4 linked regions of the Nothobranchius furzeri genome follow. The protein of the gene in region 1 purifies or fractionates together with the protein of each later gene. This does not show direct contact. Links are inferred from orthologs where the notes say so. Each region holds a gene or a part of one and is shown on either strand. Other genes may lie near its edges.

Region 1 (2,583 bases):
GTCAGCGTGGGCCAGATGTGATGGGGCTCAGTGATGGTGGTCTTATCAGGCTTCAGAATGACCTTGGCGCGGTCATTATTGACGTGGAGGGCTCTGAGGATCAGGATGAGACGGGAGAAGGCCTGCAAGCAGAGACAACAACTATTTACAGGGGAAGTGAGTGGATGTTACCAAAAGTAACTACAACTCAAAAAAGTGTTTGATCAGCTTCAGTCCCAATTTAAATCTGCTCTGTGCTCCATTAGAAAGAGAATCTCACGGTGTAGGACGAGATGGTCTTCAGCCAATCATCATAGAGATTAAACAGGACCATCTGTGGTTCTGTCGCCTTCAAGATCAGGTCTCCAAACTTCTCCACCTTCAGACAGGCCTGGAAAGGCAGCTGCAGCTCTGAGCCTTTGATCACGATGTTGGGGAAGTCAAGCAAGTGGACCTAAACAGAAATCAAATAACTTTAAGAAGCATTTTAGAGTAGATTCGATTTTTAAGATGATCCTGTAAAGTTTAGAAATGTTGAAGCAGCAGTAACCATCACATCCTCTCACCTCCAGAGGGTCCAGCATGCCCTTCCTGGTTACGATGATCTGCTTGGGCTGCTCCTCCACAGGGAGGGAGCGAATCAGGGCAGCAACTTCTTCAGCCGTTTTCCATTTGGCCAGCTACATAAATAACAGGTTAAACATGTTCAACTAAAACAGAATACCACTAAAATCTAAGTTTCTTGTAAAGAATAATTTTACCAGACAAATATAAACAGAAGCAAATTTTAAAGAGCAGAGCAGGACATTTTCATACCTGTCCCAGACGTTTCTGTCCAGCCCACACAGACGTGTGAATGATCTTGAGGAAGAGTTGTCCAGTTCTGGGGTTGAAGATGAAAATGGCTCCATTGATGGGTTTTGTGGTCAAGTTTCCCTCAAAGGTCTGAGCACACGAAGCATAAATTTGATATGATGATAGCGATTTTTTCCTTCTGCGCGTTTCTGAGCAGAAGCACCATTTTGACGCCCACCTGAAAAACCAACGCTCACCTTGTGAATGGTGACTCTGTAGACATTGGTGTCATCCACAAACCAGATGATCTGGTTGGAGAAGAGCTCGCCGTAGTTCTGCGAGGACAGGTAAGGCTCCGTGGGCTCTGAGGAGTAGAGCTGCAGACCTTTGCGGATGCGCTCTCGGAGCACATACAGAGCAGGGTTGGCCTTCATGATCTTGGCCATGGCCTGCTGGATCAGAGGCTTGCTTCCTGGAAACCAGTTACCATACGCGCTACAGAAAAACGAATAAAACCAAAAACATACAGTTCAGAACTCCAAATAAATCAACTGGCTGATGGAGCATGGACAGGAATTTAGGAAGCTTGTGTGGAGACTTCAAGGGCGACTGAGGAGCATTTACAAGCAGATGTAAAAATCCAGGAAACACTTCCGGCAGCCTTTTAAGATTTGAACTTCAGTTCATCTGTCATTTAACTACATCATGTGAAGTTATGGTGGAAATAAATGCAATAGTCACTTCATAATGACCCTAATAATACAAACTTAACTGATGAAAACAAGCCACACCTGTGAAGGTTGTAAGCCAGGTCGATAGCGATGAGCACTCCAGTGGGAGAGGGGTAGATACTCATGTTGTCCGTGGTGTAGTCCAGGAATTTGGCTCTGGCGTAGCGCTCAATGTCATGAGAGTCGTAGTCTCCCCATCGGAGCTGGATATCAATCCAGTATTTCTGTGTGGTGGTGCTGTCCATCACATCCCTGAGAGAGGAGGTATGCTTTTATTTCACACAAAATTAGACAAAACCATCTTCACATGTAAACTAACGTGTGAACAAACTGTATTAGTGTCATTTCTAACCTTAACATCTTTTCTGTAACAACAGTCTCAGAGACAAACATTTTAAATGTCCTACTTTGAGTCGGCGAGCAGAGACGGTCGGGAGACGTTCCACTTGTATGACGCAAAGAGGAGGATGTCTGCACAGGACGAGTTCATCTTGTAGGACTTTCTGGGATGGATGGTCTCCTTCTGCACCGTCTCAATCTCCAAAGCATCCAGCTCCTGGTCAAACACCTGCCAACCAGAAACATAACATTTACCCAATCTATCGGAACACACGACTCTCTCCGTGCGAGTTTATGGATCAGAGCCTACCTGACAGAGATCCATGACGATGCTCTCATGGATCTTCTGCCACAGGTGAGCCCTGAAGATCTGAATGAGGGAGATCTTCAGAGTGGGAATCTTGCCGTGCATGAAGATTCCCGTCAAGTCAAGCTGTACCTGGAAACCCACATACACCTGCAGAGGAAGGGAAAATATTCTGTAAATGGTTCTTAAATGATTGTTCCAACTGCTGATGTTTATACTAACGTTGGCCCGGTTGATGGTGGGCGACCACCAGAGAGTGAAGCGACGGTTGGGGATCTGGTTGAGACCAGACCTCTGAGCGTTGGTCAGCTTCTTCCATTTCATGGACTCTTCAAAGCCACTGGCCTTTTCCCTAATCGCCAGAGAAATAATAATAAAAAATCAAAAACGGTACAAAATAACAGAAAACAAAAAAACGACCATTTCACGTAG
Region 2 (3,947 bases), on another chromosome or scaffold:
ATTTTTCTCAATATATAACCATATTTGATAAATATCACGATAAATAACATACAACTGTTTGTATTTTAACGTCGTCCTTGTAGTTTTATAAGCTGATGATTAAACTGAAGCAAACATCTTTACTGTGAACTAAATTTACTGTGTATCTTCATTCCTTTTACCGTCCTTTTTCAATTGATTTTTCCTACTGGGAAGTTAGAATTTCTGAGGAGAAAGCGAACGCACCATTAGCTGATAACAACGGTGGCAATGGAAGCTAACATATCAAGCTAACGTTATCTTAAACAGTTTATTTAACTGCTGGAGCAGATTAAAACGATGATGCCTCACACTTAGATCGTTGTCGCTGGTTTCATCTTCACCCAGTCACCCGTCGCATTTAGTGAAGTGGACCCAAGCTTAAGCGTTCGTTCGTTCTACCATGCTGCTCTGTTTACAACTGGCTCGCAGCGACCGATGACTTAACGCTCTTGCGCATGCGCAGCTGTCTAGGCAAGTTCTCGTTGTGAAGGACGGGTACCGAAACGAGACACCGTTTCAAATTAAGTGAATCGGTGCTCGGTCGGTACTATGGAATTTGGTCGGTACCTTAAAAAGTACCGAATTCGGTACCCATCCCTAAAAGCAGCATGACGATAAAATCTCGTGTTTAAGAGCGTAGGACTTCCATGTGCAACAGGAGAAACTCCGTTTCAGTCTGTTTACCTCTTTGTCTTCTCCTGGAGGGGGGGGCACCCTCTGTTTCTGGGAGGGCAACAACGTGACACCAGGAGGAAGCGGCCCACGAGGATCCAAGATAGAAACTGAAAAAGAGTTTTGAAAAAGTGGTCATTGCTGTAGAAACTGGACTTACATGAAGTTATGTGTTTTTATTTGAAATAACACATTAGACTGACCAATGGGCAAAGACCTGGGCTGCAGCTTGGCCATCTCCTGCTGACGCTCCTGTTCCAGCAGCACAGCAGCCTGGCACACGCAGACGGGGAGACATAAATACAAGGTGAACATGTAGGAAGTGCAGATTAAAGATAAACCCCTGAGTTTAGTTAAAGCTCTGCTCTGGATTGTTGGCTTCTATTCAGCCGATTACCTGCAATTAGACAAGAAGCAGATGTATATCTAACTTGGCCACTAGGTGGGGAAAAGGCTCTTAAAATCATCACTTTGCAAAGTGAAAGGTTCATTCTGTTAGAGCAAACGGGGCCTTCAGCTCCCCTAAATATTAAACGGAACATCTTTGCCTTTTCTGCTGCTCTAGAAGGTCCTGTTCACCTCTTGTTGTAACCAGAATGAGCAAAAATCCACAATTCACAACAGGATTTTGCCTCAACTAACCCAATTAAAAAACTATTTCTGATTTATATTTTGTTGTTTCAGCGTCCCACAATCTCCCAAATGCATAATATTCTTAGCGTGTAGTGTTCTAAACCAACAACGGAACATGATGGTCTGAGGGCTTCACCTGTTTGGCTCGTTCCTCCTGTTGGAGAACCATGGCCGCCCTGTGCTGAGCCATCTTCAGCTGGTCGTCCTGCGTCAGCGCTGGAGGCAGCAGGGGTCCGTGCTCCATTCCTAAGGGTAAACCAGGAGGAGGAGGACCTCCAGCGGGCATCATGCCCATAGGCTGGAGCATTCCGATGCCAGGGGGCATTGGAGGCATGGGTAATGGGGGAAGAGAAGGTAACCCTGGCATCTGGAGGAAGAAGGAAGTAAATTAAAGGCAAACACCCACTGAGCCATGAGCTTAACTGAACCTCAGTTTTCACAAGTTTCATTTGTTTGTTTTGTGATAATGTGGTTAAACAATTAAATCTAGTCTCTCATCCACCTGTGTTGTTAAAATCTATACAGTGCAGTGATCACCATGGCGACTCTTGGTTTTATTTACTGCGTTTTTTGATGGTTGCCAGAAATATTGTGATAACACAAGAAGACATTTATGAAAAAAAACTCTAAGACCAACAGAAAAGTGTATCAGTACATTAAACAGTGACGTCACAACAATCTGATCAGTCCTTACCTGGACGCCCATTGGGTTGTCTTCATTTGGTTTGCTGAGGATAATTCCTGTCTGTAGGACAAAAACAAACGGGCAGATCCAGTAGATAAATTAGTACTAAAACAAGTTTCTTTAGGAAACAAATCGTGATGAGGAAGTGGAAAAACCAGAATCACATTTCTAAAGCGTTTACCTGCATCATGTAGCCCTTCAGTCTGTCAATCAGCTCCTCTCTGGGACCTGGATGAGAGAAAATAACTGTTAGACAACAAGGAAGTGATTCCAGGAGCGCAAGACAAATTCGAAGTTTTACTGATTCAATAAGATACAAACAGAACGCTACACTGCGTAAATGCAAAGACTTACGCTCAAAGTTAGCAAAATAAGCTAAACGTAAGATAAATACGTTTAAATAGAAGACCCAAACCAATCAAACGTTTAGCTGTTGCTTTAAACGTCACAAATCACGCAGGTAGATTCACTATGTTGTGCTCTAGTGAATGTAAACACACGTAGAGTCTGTAGTTGGCCTACTTTAATAATGCGTTACCAAACTGCTAGCTAAAGTTAACGGAAGGCTAATACCTGGTAGCTAAATTCATTGTTCGATGAGTGCCCTCCAAGTATTTCTTACCCATATTTGGTGCGCCCAGGTCAGCCAGCTTGGCTTGAAGCTCCGGATTGCTCCATGTGTTTAAAGCTGCGATTGCACCTCCTAAATCAGGCGAAAGAGAATCGCTACCCGTTACTCCGTCGGATGCCATGTTGAGCTTCTCTCAATGGAACAACGGCGGCAGCGGAAACAACGCGAGAGTGAGAAGAAGATTGGACCAATGCATTGTGGGAAACGTGCCACAACGTTAAAAAAAAAATTCTTTTAAATTGAACTTTTTCATTTACAATTAACATGGCATAAATTCCTTTGTTTTACATTACCCGGGATCAGGTGCAAAAAATAACAAAAGAGACTTTGCATAGAACGCAAGAATATTTGTGAACGAAACGAACAAACAGAAAAAAATAAATAAATAAAAAAGAGACAAAGAGCTAGGGCTTTGTTTTCAAATCATACTTTTCAAAAAGATTAAGGAGTTTCATTGCATGTTTACTTTTCATAAACTTAAGGGCTTTGGAGAAAGAAAGACACTCGTTATGAAATGCATAGAATCTGGCTTCACATTTCCATATCTACATTTGTGAATGTAAAATTTAGCTACAACGATTATGTTATTTACCAGAAAGTCCCATTCAGTGTTATCTAATATGGCACCGTAAATGACATCGTTCTCAGAAAAGGGTTCAATAGGTATCTTTGTGTATAGCCAGTCATGGATATCATTCCAGAGAGCTTCAGAGAAAATGCAGTAAAATAATAAATGAACAGAGGTTTCTTTATCATCACACCATACACACTTATTTGTTTCGAAACCACATCTCTGTCGTAAGAATTCCCCAGATGGGTGTACGTCATTTAAAACCCATGCCCAACTAAAAAACGTGTGCTGGAAGTTGGTTCATGTGGCCACGGGATGTCAGTGTTGGCACAAGAGAATTTATTAACAAAAGCGAAACTTTTTAGTTTCATTTTTGAAATTTGGTTCACGAATTACAAAATTTAAAAGTAAAATGTAATCAAAGTACAGCTTTTTTTCTTAATGGTCATCTTGCACCAAGAAGGTTGCTGGCTTAAATCTCAGCTGTGCGCATTAGATGTGGAGTTTTAATTGTCGTATTGTGCATGCACTTGAGCAATACTTTGTCAAGAAGACACGAACCTGGTGCCCAAGTGCTGGTGAGCAAACTGCCTCTCCTCCCCTTTCGGTCAGCTCATAGGTCCCCGGAGCATAGAAAAAAACGAATACAAGTGAACAAGGCTATAAAATCTATTTTCTAATCTGCTTTGCCTTACGCCCTGAAATGCACATTTTTGTACTTCAATTCAAATGAA
Region 3 (4,134 bases), on another chromosome or scaffold:
GAGCAATAAATGTCCAAAGAAAACATTTTAAAAAAATTCTTTTAAAAATATTTTTGGATTTTAATCCCAACAGTAGGGAATATCACTTTACTTTTTAAATAAAACCATAATACCTGAGAGTATATGACCTACTGGGGCCCCTGCCTCAAGTTATAAATACCTTTTGGACATAAATTAGAACATATTACTCTCTCACCTGCTTATTATGCAGCTTTTACTCATAAACTAATTTCTGGTACATTACAAGTTTATTAGTAATAATTAAACGCAAAAATATCCAAAAGTTGTACTAAAATGTTTATTTGCCAATTTTCTGTTTATCTGTACAATGAGCATAAATCAAAAACAGTTGGTTAAATTACTTCCAAGATAACAAAATCCAGTAGATCGAAACATGTATTTAAAAAAACAACAAGCTGAATGTTCCTGTGGTCTGACGTGGATCACGGAGCTCTTGGTGCTCTCAAGGGACCCGAGGAGGGGCACCGGGAGGTCTTGGTGGCATTGGAGGTGCTCTCTGGAAACCAAAAGGAGGTGGACGAGGAGGAACGGCACCATAGCCGGGAGGAGGCATGGGGGGAGGTCCTCTCATACCTGGAGGCACAGGGTGGGCTTGGGAAAAAAAAAAAAAAAAAAAGAAATAACAGGTTAAAAACAACTTTCATTTAAAAAAAATTGTATTTTTGAGAAAATGCCACAGTGCTCACCCATGGGGGGTCCATACGGTGCTCTGGGAGGCATGCCCATAGGAGGTGGGGGCATGCTGGGGGGCGGTGGAGCTCGAGCCGATCCTGGTGGAGCAGGTGGAGGCACCATGCCAGGAGGAGCAGGCGGCATGGGCATCTGAGGCATACCTGTGGGCCCGGATCAAACAAATAAAAATAACTCATTCAGGGCTAACAGCTGCATTTTAATAACCTGACATTTAAATTGAAACATTATTGTTTTTATTTCTTCACATTTGAAGGAGATGACTGAGGTTGATCCTGCACAATTTTATTAATCGTTATTGGACTTCTTAAAGCTAAAATGGGGAGCAGAGACTTAAATTTTCAGGCTTTTCTGCAACCGAGTTATACCTGGAGGCATGCTGGCCGGTGCGAAAGGTGGAGGAACAGCTGGAGGTCCACCAAGAGAAGATGGAGGACCTGGTGTCCCTGCTGATGGAGGCATGCCCATAGAAGGGGGCATCGTTGGAGGCATTGATCCAGGGGGAGGAACGTGAGGAAAGGCACCAGGAGGCGGCAAACCTGCGCAAAAAAAAAAACAAAACTATTATATAATTAACCCAATAAATGTAGAAAGGTACTTCTTTATCGGCAGTTAAGATTAGAGCAGTCATACCATGAAGAGGAATCCCGGGGCCCATTGCGGTTAGGAGTGGCGTCTGTGCAGATGGTGGGGGCGGAGCATCTGCAAACAGCTGATGTGGCCTGTCTGCCTGCGAGAGAGGGTTTTGTGCAGCTAGCAGTCGCTCTGCCGCTGAGCCATGGCGTTCTCCTTTAGAATCTTTCTTGAACGCGTACGACACAGTGATGGGCCGGTTGCACAGGTACTGGCCATTCATGGCCTCGATGGCGGCGTCGGACGCATCAAAGCTGGCAAAGTTGATGAAGGCGTAACCCTTGGAGTTGCCGGTGTCTGGGTCTCGCATGATCTTTGGAGTTTGTAGAATAACGCCAAAAGCACTGAACGTGTCGTAGAGCAGTTTTTCATCGATCTCCGGGTCCAAGTTCCCGATGAAGATATTAGCGCCAACATCCAGGTTTTTGTTGTGGGCGGAGGCCTTATTCACGCGAATCGGTTTGCCGTAGAGCTTAATCATGTTCATGATTTTAATGGCATAGTCAGCATCTTCCTCACTGAGGAACTCCACAAATCCATAACCTGAGTGGAACAGTTTCATTTGTTATGTACATTGTTACAGTGAATTTTAGGACTTTCATCCCATCTTGAATAGCCTGATTCTCACCTTGATGTTGACCTGTGACCCGATCTTTGGGCATGTGTGTGTTGACAACAGGGCCAGCCTGCAGAAAAAGCTCCCATAGCAACGGCTCTGACACCTTCTCATCCAAACCACCGACATACACGGTGGCATCTGGAAACACAAGAAAATACCTATTAAGGAAAACGGTGTTTACATTGATAGGTGAGCATTGCTACATGCTAATGTCGCGAGTTTTTAAGGCTAACTTTAGTTGTTTAGTGGTTCTAGTCCTGACTTGGAATAATCTCTGCATTTCAAATAAACAACATAAAACTCCCGTATGCTATCGTGAAGTCAAGCATTAAGTAATACAAGCATTAAGTAATACAATTAAAATAAACAAAAAACGGCTAACTTAGCTAGAAGCTAGGCTAACGAGACCGGAGACTTCCATGTGTTTGAGTACGCATTTACCCCCAAAACACGGGCTAATTAGACAGCTAACATTGGTGGGAAAGAGCGGATAAGAATTTCAATTGTTATAAATCAAGAGATATCGCTAAATAATGAAGGTGTAAGCGTTAAACCATTTAAACAATGAAATTACCTTGGTTTCTTTCTGAAATTGGTCCCGCTGCCATGTTGAATGACCAACGCTGGGAGAGCGTTGTGAAGGGAAGGCCCGCCTCTTCCGGTAAAACCCAACAAAATAAAATAAGATCAAATAAATTAAAGTAAAAATAAACTAATTCTTCTGTTTTTGTAGTTACATAAAAAATTGTTATACTCTGATTACACTAAAGACCCAGACATTCCTAAACAAAAAAAGACAGCAAATAAATGAATGTTAATTAAAAACTTGAAAGGCAATCAAAATCACTAAGTTTCATTTGAATTGATTTGATAGTTTTTTCTGGGATATTTTTAGTTGTATGGCACTTAACCATTAACAACAAATTCAAAACAAAGCCACAATTATTTTTATTATTTGATTTATTTCATATACATATAAATATACTAAAGGTATAAACATGGAATACAAAGTGTTCATAGAAAATACACACATTTAGGGTCTCAAAAATTTTAGAAAGTAACTATTTTTTATATATATATATATATATATATATAAAACACACATTAAAAATAGAAACTAACATCATGCACCAAAGACAAAAAATAAAACTGTTGCCAAAGCTGTTTATAAAATGAATTTAAAATAAGCATCAGTAAGGGAGCCTTCATAGATAATAGTCATTAAAATAACTGAAAGAGCTGAGAATAATTAATGGCTTGTGAAGAAAAATACATCTACTGAACTTTATTTTAAAAAGTAAACCTTAAAAATAAACAAAATTAAAGACCTCCAGGCTCACTCATTAAACCTGCTCAAATACACTTATTACATTTTCTTTTTTTGGCCCCTAAAACGAGAACAGAATTTCACAACACAAACCAAATAATGCAACACATATTTCACAAGCTGATTCACTAAAACCCGGTGTTCATAAACACAATCGCCTTCTTTTAACCTTCATAATATTTGTCACATAATAAAGAAATAATTTGACATTATGGCATAAATATGAGAAAGTATAGCACTGTCATGATACTTAGAGATAGTTTGGCTAGCAGGGAGCGAACCAAGTTGCTTCCTGGTTAGGAAGTGTTGCTTGGCAATCACCAAAGACCACAGAAAGAGAAAGGTTTAGACTAATTAAAAAAAACAAGTTATAGGCTGTTTTGCAATATGAGTACTTGTTTAAACGTGTGTACTATATTAATTGTGAAATGTCATTGGCGTTAGCCCGTGTACTGTTCCAATACCAAGTACGCATCATGGCAAGTACGCTCAAAGTTCCTGGATGTGTTCGTCCTTCACCCATTACAATAAAGTATCCATCTTTGGACTTGGACCAGAAAAGTATCCCATAATGCATTTAGTCACAAACCGTTATACCACAAATAGATAGTAAAGCTCATAAAAATAAAAATAATTACGTCTTCAAAGGGCCGCTCAAAAGACTGGCTCTTTTGAACGAAGCAAAGAAGTCTCAGTGAGAGTGGAAGGAGGGGGGCTGTTCATGATGGACGAAACCATAATGCATATTATTGAGCCTTTTATATACTTCAGCCTGATAATTTTGTTGTTTTATTTCATATTTTTTAGCAGTAAACCAGTTTTTTTTCGCTTGAAACGTTGTCGG
Region 4 (4,279 bases), on another chromosome or scaffold:
CGCCAAAGCTCACCATGATCTTTCTGGAGTTCTGAAGATTCTTTTGTCGGATTTCAAACTGAGCATGAAGCAGCCACATCTTAGCAAATGTGAACTGAAAGAGAAGAGAAAGCACGTCACAGCCTGGTGGTGGTGGGGGGTTACATCATGGTGAAGTTCTAAAGACCTTCTTGTGAGGGATCAGCTCCAGACAAGCCTGGTAAACCTGCCTCGTCCTCTCCGGGTCCTGCCGACACATGTCACCGTTACACCGGTCCGTCAGCGCCCTCTGCAGGAACGCTGCAGGACCACTGACCTTGGTCTCCAGCTCCTCGTACAGAGCGTAGTTGATCCACAGGTAGATGTAGCGCCTCCAGTGTCTCTTCTCCTGCAGGGGGGGCACATTGGCAATGGCTCGTTCGTAAACCTCTCTCACCGTGTCGGCGTCCGCATCGCTCTCCACCAGCCGCAGGTAATCAAACCAGGCGTCGTAGTTGTGTGGGTTAGCCTGAAGGACGAGAAGTTGCTGAGTTTGGGCCACACAGCAGAACACCTGCCTCTGCACACCTGAGCCCAGAACCAGACTTCATCTCTGACCTCCAGACAGGTGAAGTACCTTCACTTCCTCTTCGTACTGGAACCTCCGTTTGCTGACGATCACATCTTCGATTCCTCTCCGGTCTCCAAACTTCTTTTCAAACATGGTGTAGTTCTTGAAGAGCTCCTGGGCCTGATGTTTGGGGATTCTGTCCAGTGCGTACTTGTAGATGACTCGAACACGCTCAAACTGTCCAGAACAAGAACAGAAGTAAGAGAATCCACCCAAACAAACCCATAAACAAAGTTCTGATAGCACCCACCTCCTTCTGTGTCTCCTCAAACTTGGCAAAGGCCACAAACAGGTTCTCCTCCACGTGTTCCTCCCCGAAGAACTCCACAGCCCGCTCGTACACCTTCCTGCTGTGAGCCACATATCCGTGCTTCTCCTCGAAGCGAGCGTATTTGATCCAGTTCTTCACCTCCGGGTGAACAAGGACGAGTGAAGACGAGTTAAAGAACTTCCTGTCTGTTCAAAACCACGCGCAGCCCATCAACCACCAGAACCAGGGTTAGTTAAAAACCGGGTCAGAAGGAACAGAGATGTTCTCCAGTACTCTGTAGGATCAGGTTTAAGGCATTATGGGTCTGAATCTGTAGCTGAACCGGGTCACAGATCTTTGGTGTTTTAATTCGAGTCTGACTGGACCTGTTCCGGTTGTTTTTATGGAACGTGTGTTCTAACCCCACCATTCTAGGTTCTACTGGGCTCCAGTAGAAAGGATATAGTGCTCGTAGATGGTCCGGGCTTTGTCCACCTCCTTGTAGCGCAGCTCAAAGTTGATGTAGGAGTGCCAGGCCTGTTCTTCGGGTTCCCACTCCATCCAGCGTTCAAACACCTGCCTGCAGCCAGCCACGTTCCCCAGCATCTCCTCCATGTAGGTGTACTTGTACCTGAGCAGAACATCAAAAACGTTCCAGCACACACGTGAAGGCTCTGACAGAACCCCAAGCTATAGAGTCCTACCAGAACTGGTTGACCCGTGGAAGGATGGTGATAGCTCTGTCCCAGATGTTACGAGCATGATTCACCTGGCGGCTCTTCATCTCCATTTCGGCGTACTTCAGCCACAAAGTGACATTGCGGTGATCGACGTCCAGCGCTCTTTCATAAATGGACCGGGCCCTGAACCCAGATGAACAGTGTTTAAACAACTAACCAGGTTACCTTAAACCTCTAGTTCCAGCTGTGGTGATGACCTAAATACCTCTGGATCTCCTTCAGACTTTCCTCCCACTGAGCGTACTTAATCCAGTTACTGATGATGGTCCGGTTCTTCCTGATGTTGTCTTCAAAAGCCTGAAACACAGTTAGACCAGTACCCATCAGACGTGTTGTTTACCTGTTAGACTAACCCACCCATGGAGGCTACGCTCTCTAAATCACCTTCCTCTTCCTCAGCTTGTAGTCGTTCAGCTCCTCCTTATCGGTGATCTTCTGTTTGGGTGGCGGAGGCAGAAGCTCCAGCTCCCTCTCCTTGGCCTCTCTCAGCAGCTGCTCAGCTGTGATCTGGACCTCAGCAGGAGCTTTGTTCTTCACCTGGAAAGCAACACAATAAGCTTCAGGACCACTCCTCGGTACCACTCCTGTCCTAGAACCAGAACCAGGGTCCGGTGCGATTTTACACTCTTTAAAACCAGAATTGGCCAAAAAGTCTTTCTGCGTTTTACCAGAACATTTGATCGTTTTTGAATTTACAATTTTTTTTTTGTTTTGTTTTTCTGGTTATGATCGATGAGCCGGGCCGGACCAGAACCAGTGAGCTGAAACATTCTAGGGTTGTGCTGATAAATGGCACTTCAGGTCCAGCATGGCAGAACTACTGGACCTTAGCAGTGATGCTGAGATCCCAGGTGACCGGAACATCTGGGGGAACCAAAGCTCCCACACATCCAGGAGCAGCCTCTGAGCTCCCGGTGGAGGACAGGAGCTCGTGTCTCTGGACCCGGGCCATCAGAACAGAACTCACGGGTCACTACAGCTAAACAGTAATGCGTTAGCATTAGCTTAGCCGCTCTTAGCTCCGCGCTCCGGTCCGCTTACCTTCGCCACCTTCGGTATCCGCTGTTTCCCTGCCGCCGTGGAGGCCATGCTGCCGGTGTGTCGGACCAGACGTTCTCTGTAAAATAAAAGGTCCCAAAGAAACGACTGTTTCAAAGCTTAAGCCACATAAACGTTCCGTTTGCTGCTCCAGCCACCATGACAGTACCCACAATGCTCTGCGACTTCCGGTACGTTGGTATAGCAACGGAAGTTACACAAAGGGAGAGAGTAAAAAACTCAATTTTTTGTACCACGTGACTGAAACCCTCCTAGCTGCAGACGTAGCCCCGGCCAAACACCCCCCACCCCCCACCCACCCCGACAAAACACGCCCCCCTGTTGAGATACCCCCGAGCTCAATAACGGCGGCCCTCCCAGCGAACAACACAATTGAAAGAAAATAAATATAGAAATAGTAATAATGTAATTAAACAGACAGGACTCCAGGTTTAAATATGAATGTATGGATTTTTTTGGCCATCCCCAGTGAGATTATTTTTATTTCTTGTATACACACTTCATGGCCATCCCCAGTGAGATTATAAAACACAGATACCACCAACAAATAATCAGTTGCCGTACAATAGGCACAACATACCTATGCTTACTGACGTTAGCAGGTGAGTAATGTATGTGCAAGTGTTTATTTTAAATGCAATAAAATAAAATATCAGAAAAAGTAATTAGTGGTAATCGTTTTAATTAACCCCTTAAGCCCACTGACCCCCATTTTTGGGAGCACGCCTCCTACAGCAACATTTAACTTTCAACCATTTGTTATTACAGGCACTAACAGTAGGTCTAAGTTCATACGAGTGAGTAGTTAATATTTATGTTACTATCTGTGATTTTTTTATTGCTTCTTTACAGTGAAAAGCTGCTGCTGTGTAATTTTTAGGCATATTTACATGTGTATATATGCATTTCATATATTCTGTTAACAGGAATAATTGCTGGCCCTTTCACACAAAATGTATTGATTTAGAAATTACTAAAATATTTTGCATTAAGTATACAATTCACAAGACTAGTAAACTGATATTGACCATACACTAATCTGTAAAGAATATACTGTAAACACAAAAGCAGAAAAGTTTGGCTTTAGAAAAAAAAGTTCTGACAAATGAAACAACCAGCAACAGCTTTTATTGGCCTTACAAATACCTTCCAAAAAATAATAATAATAATAAATGTCCACACATTGCTACAACCTCTTGAAAAATTCAGATGAGTCCAGAGCTTTTCTGATTTTCTCCGAGTATATGAGCAGTTCCATGGCATAGGACATCAGCTGCCTCTCACTAGTGAGACAGAGATAAATAGCAATTAGTAAAAATGACATTTACACCTAGAGGCTGTCATAACCAATGTGAAAACAATACATATAGGAATTAGCACTGTTCTTGTGTTTGTAGAATACCTCCGGGCTACCACATTGCCGTCGTGAGTTTGCTGTTTATTAGATGAGGAGTCATAAACGGTCAAATAAATAGCCTATTGTTACGTTTATTTTGGCCAAAAGGCTTGCATGTAGCCCATTAAAAATTATATAAAAAATTTGCGTCCATAACGTTTTCCCCCACTGCCAATAATGCTTAATTTTATAAAAAAGGGTTTCAGAAAAAAATTACGAAGGCGCTATCTGTCAAACTATGTCTT

Evidence for each region. Proteins that work in one complex are often made in the same cells at the same time.
Region 2: the proteins of prpf8 (region 1) and sf3b2 purify together in Homo sapiens (affinity purification with mass spectrometry; 3 studies listed by BioGRID and IntAct, with this or other methods). This does not show direct contact. The link is inferred for Nothobranchius furzeri from reciprocal best matches to the Homo sapiens genes PRPF8 and SF3B2.
Region 3: the proteins of prpf8 (region 1) and sf3b4 purify together in Homo sapiens (affinity purification with mass spectrometry; 4 studies listed by BioGRID and IntAct, with this or other methods). This does not show direct contact. The link is inferred for Nothobranchius furzeri from reciprocal best matches to the Homo sapiens genes PRPF8 and SF3B4.
Region 4: the proteins of prpf8 (region 1) and crnkl1 fractionate together in Homo sapiens (co-fractionation; 3 studies listed by BioGRID, with this or other methods). This does not show direct contact. The link is inferred for Nothobranchius furzeri from reciprocal best matches to the Homo sapiens genes PRPF8 and CRNKL1.

Annotation. Positions count from the first base shown.
Region 1 is NC_091753.1:37,698,037-37,700,619, forward strand, and holds part of prpf8 (pre-mRNA-processing-splicing factor 8), read right to left. Parts: intron 2,504-2,583; coding exon 2,374-2,503; intron 2,302-2,373; coding exon 2,155-2,301; intron 2,074-2,154; coding exon 1,913-2,073; intron 1,758-1,912; coding exon 1,566-1,757; intron 1,270-1,565; coding exon 1,032-1,269; intron 925-1,031; coding exon 796-924; intron 660-795; coding exon 546-659; intron 434-545; coding exon 260-433; intron 123-259; coding exon 1-122. UniProt on the Homo sapiens protein: Plays a role in pre-mRNA splicing as core component of precatalytic, catalytic and postcatalytic spliceosomal complexes, both of the predominant U2-type spliceosome and the minor U12-type spliceosome.
Region 2 is NC_091742.1:75,394,447-75,398,393, forward strand, and holds the start of sf3b2 (splicing factor 3B subunit 2), read right to left. Parts: upstream 2,807-3,947; 5' UTR 2,764-2,806; coding exon 2,634-2,763; intron 2,240-2,633; coding exon 2,193-2,239; intron 2,072-2,192; coding exon 2,021-2,071; intron 1,694-2,020; coding exon 1,463-1,693; intron 967-1,462; coding exon 897-966; intron 804-896; coding exon 706-803; intron 1-705. UniProt on the Homo sapiens protein: Component of the 17S U2 SnRNP complex of the spliceosome, a large ribonucleoprotein complex that removes introns from transcribed pre-mRNAs.
Region 3 is NC_091759.1:1,629,995-1,634,128, reverse strand, and holds sf3b4 (splicing factor 3B subunit 4), read right to left. Parts: upstream 2,807-4,134; 5' UTR 2,572-2,806; coding exon 2,538-2,571; intron 2,102-2,537; coding exon 1,973-2,101; intron 1,888-1,972; coding exon 1,345-1,887; intron 1,251-1,344; coding exon 1,080-1,250; intron 855-1,079; coding exon 708-854; intron 613-707; coding exon 464-612; 3' UTR 285-463; downstream 1-284. UniProt on the Homo sapiens protein: Component of the 17S U2 SnRNP complex of the spliceosome, a large ribonucleoprotein complex that removes introns from transcribed pre-mRNAs.
Region 4 is NC_091742.1:17,433,296-17,437,574, forward strand, and holds the start of crnkl1 (crooked neck-like protein 1), read right to left. Parts: upstream 2,807-4,279; 5' UTR 2,669-2,806; coding exon 2,621-2,668; intron 2,117-2,620; coding exon 1,964-2,116; intron 1,877-1,963; coding exon 1,785-1,876; intron 1,703-1,784; coding exon 1,544-1,702; intron 1,471-1,543; coding exon 1,304-1,470; intron 1,019-1,303; coding exon 840-1,018; intron 767-839; coding exon 596-766; intron 488-595; coding exon 296-487; intron 227-295; coding exon 167-226; intron 95-166; coding exon 14-94; intron 1-13. UniProt on the Homo sapiens protein: Involved in pre-mRNA splicing process. As a component of the minor spliceosome, involved in the splicing of U12-type introns in pre-mRNAs.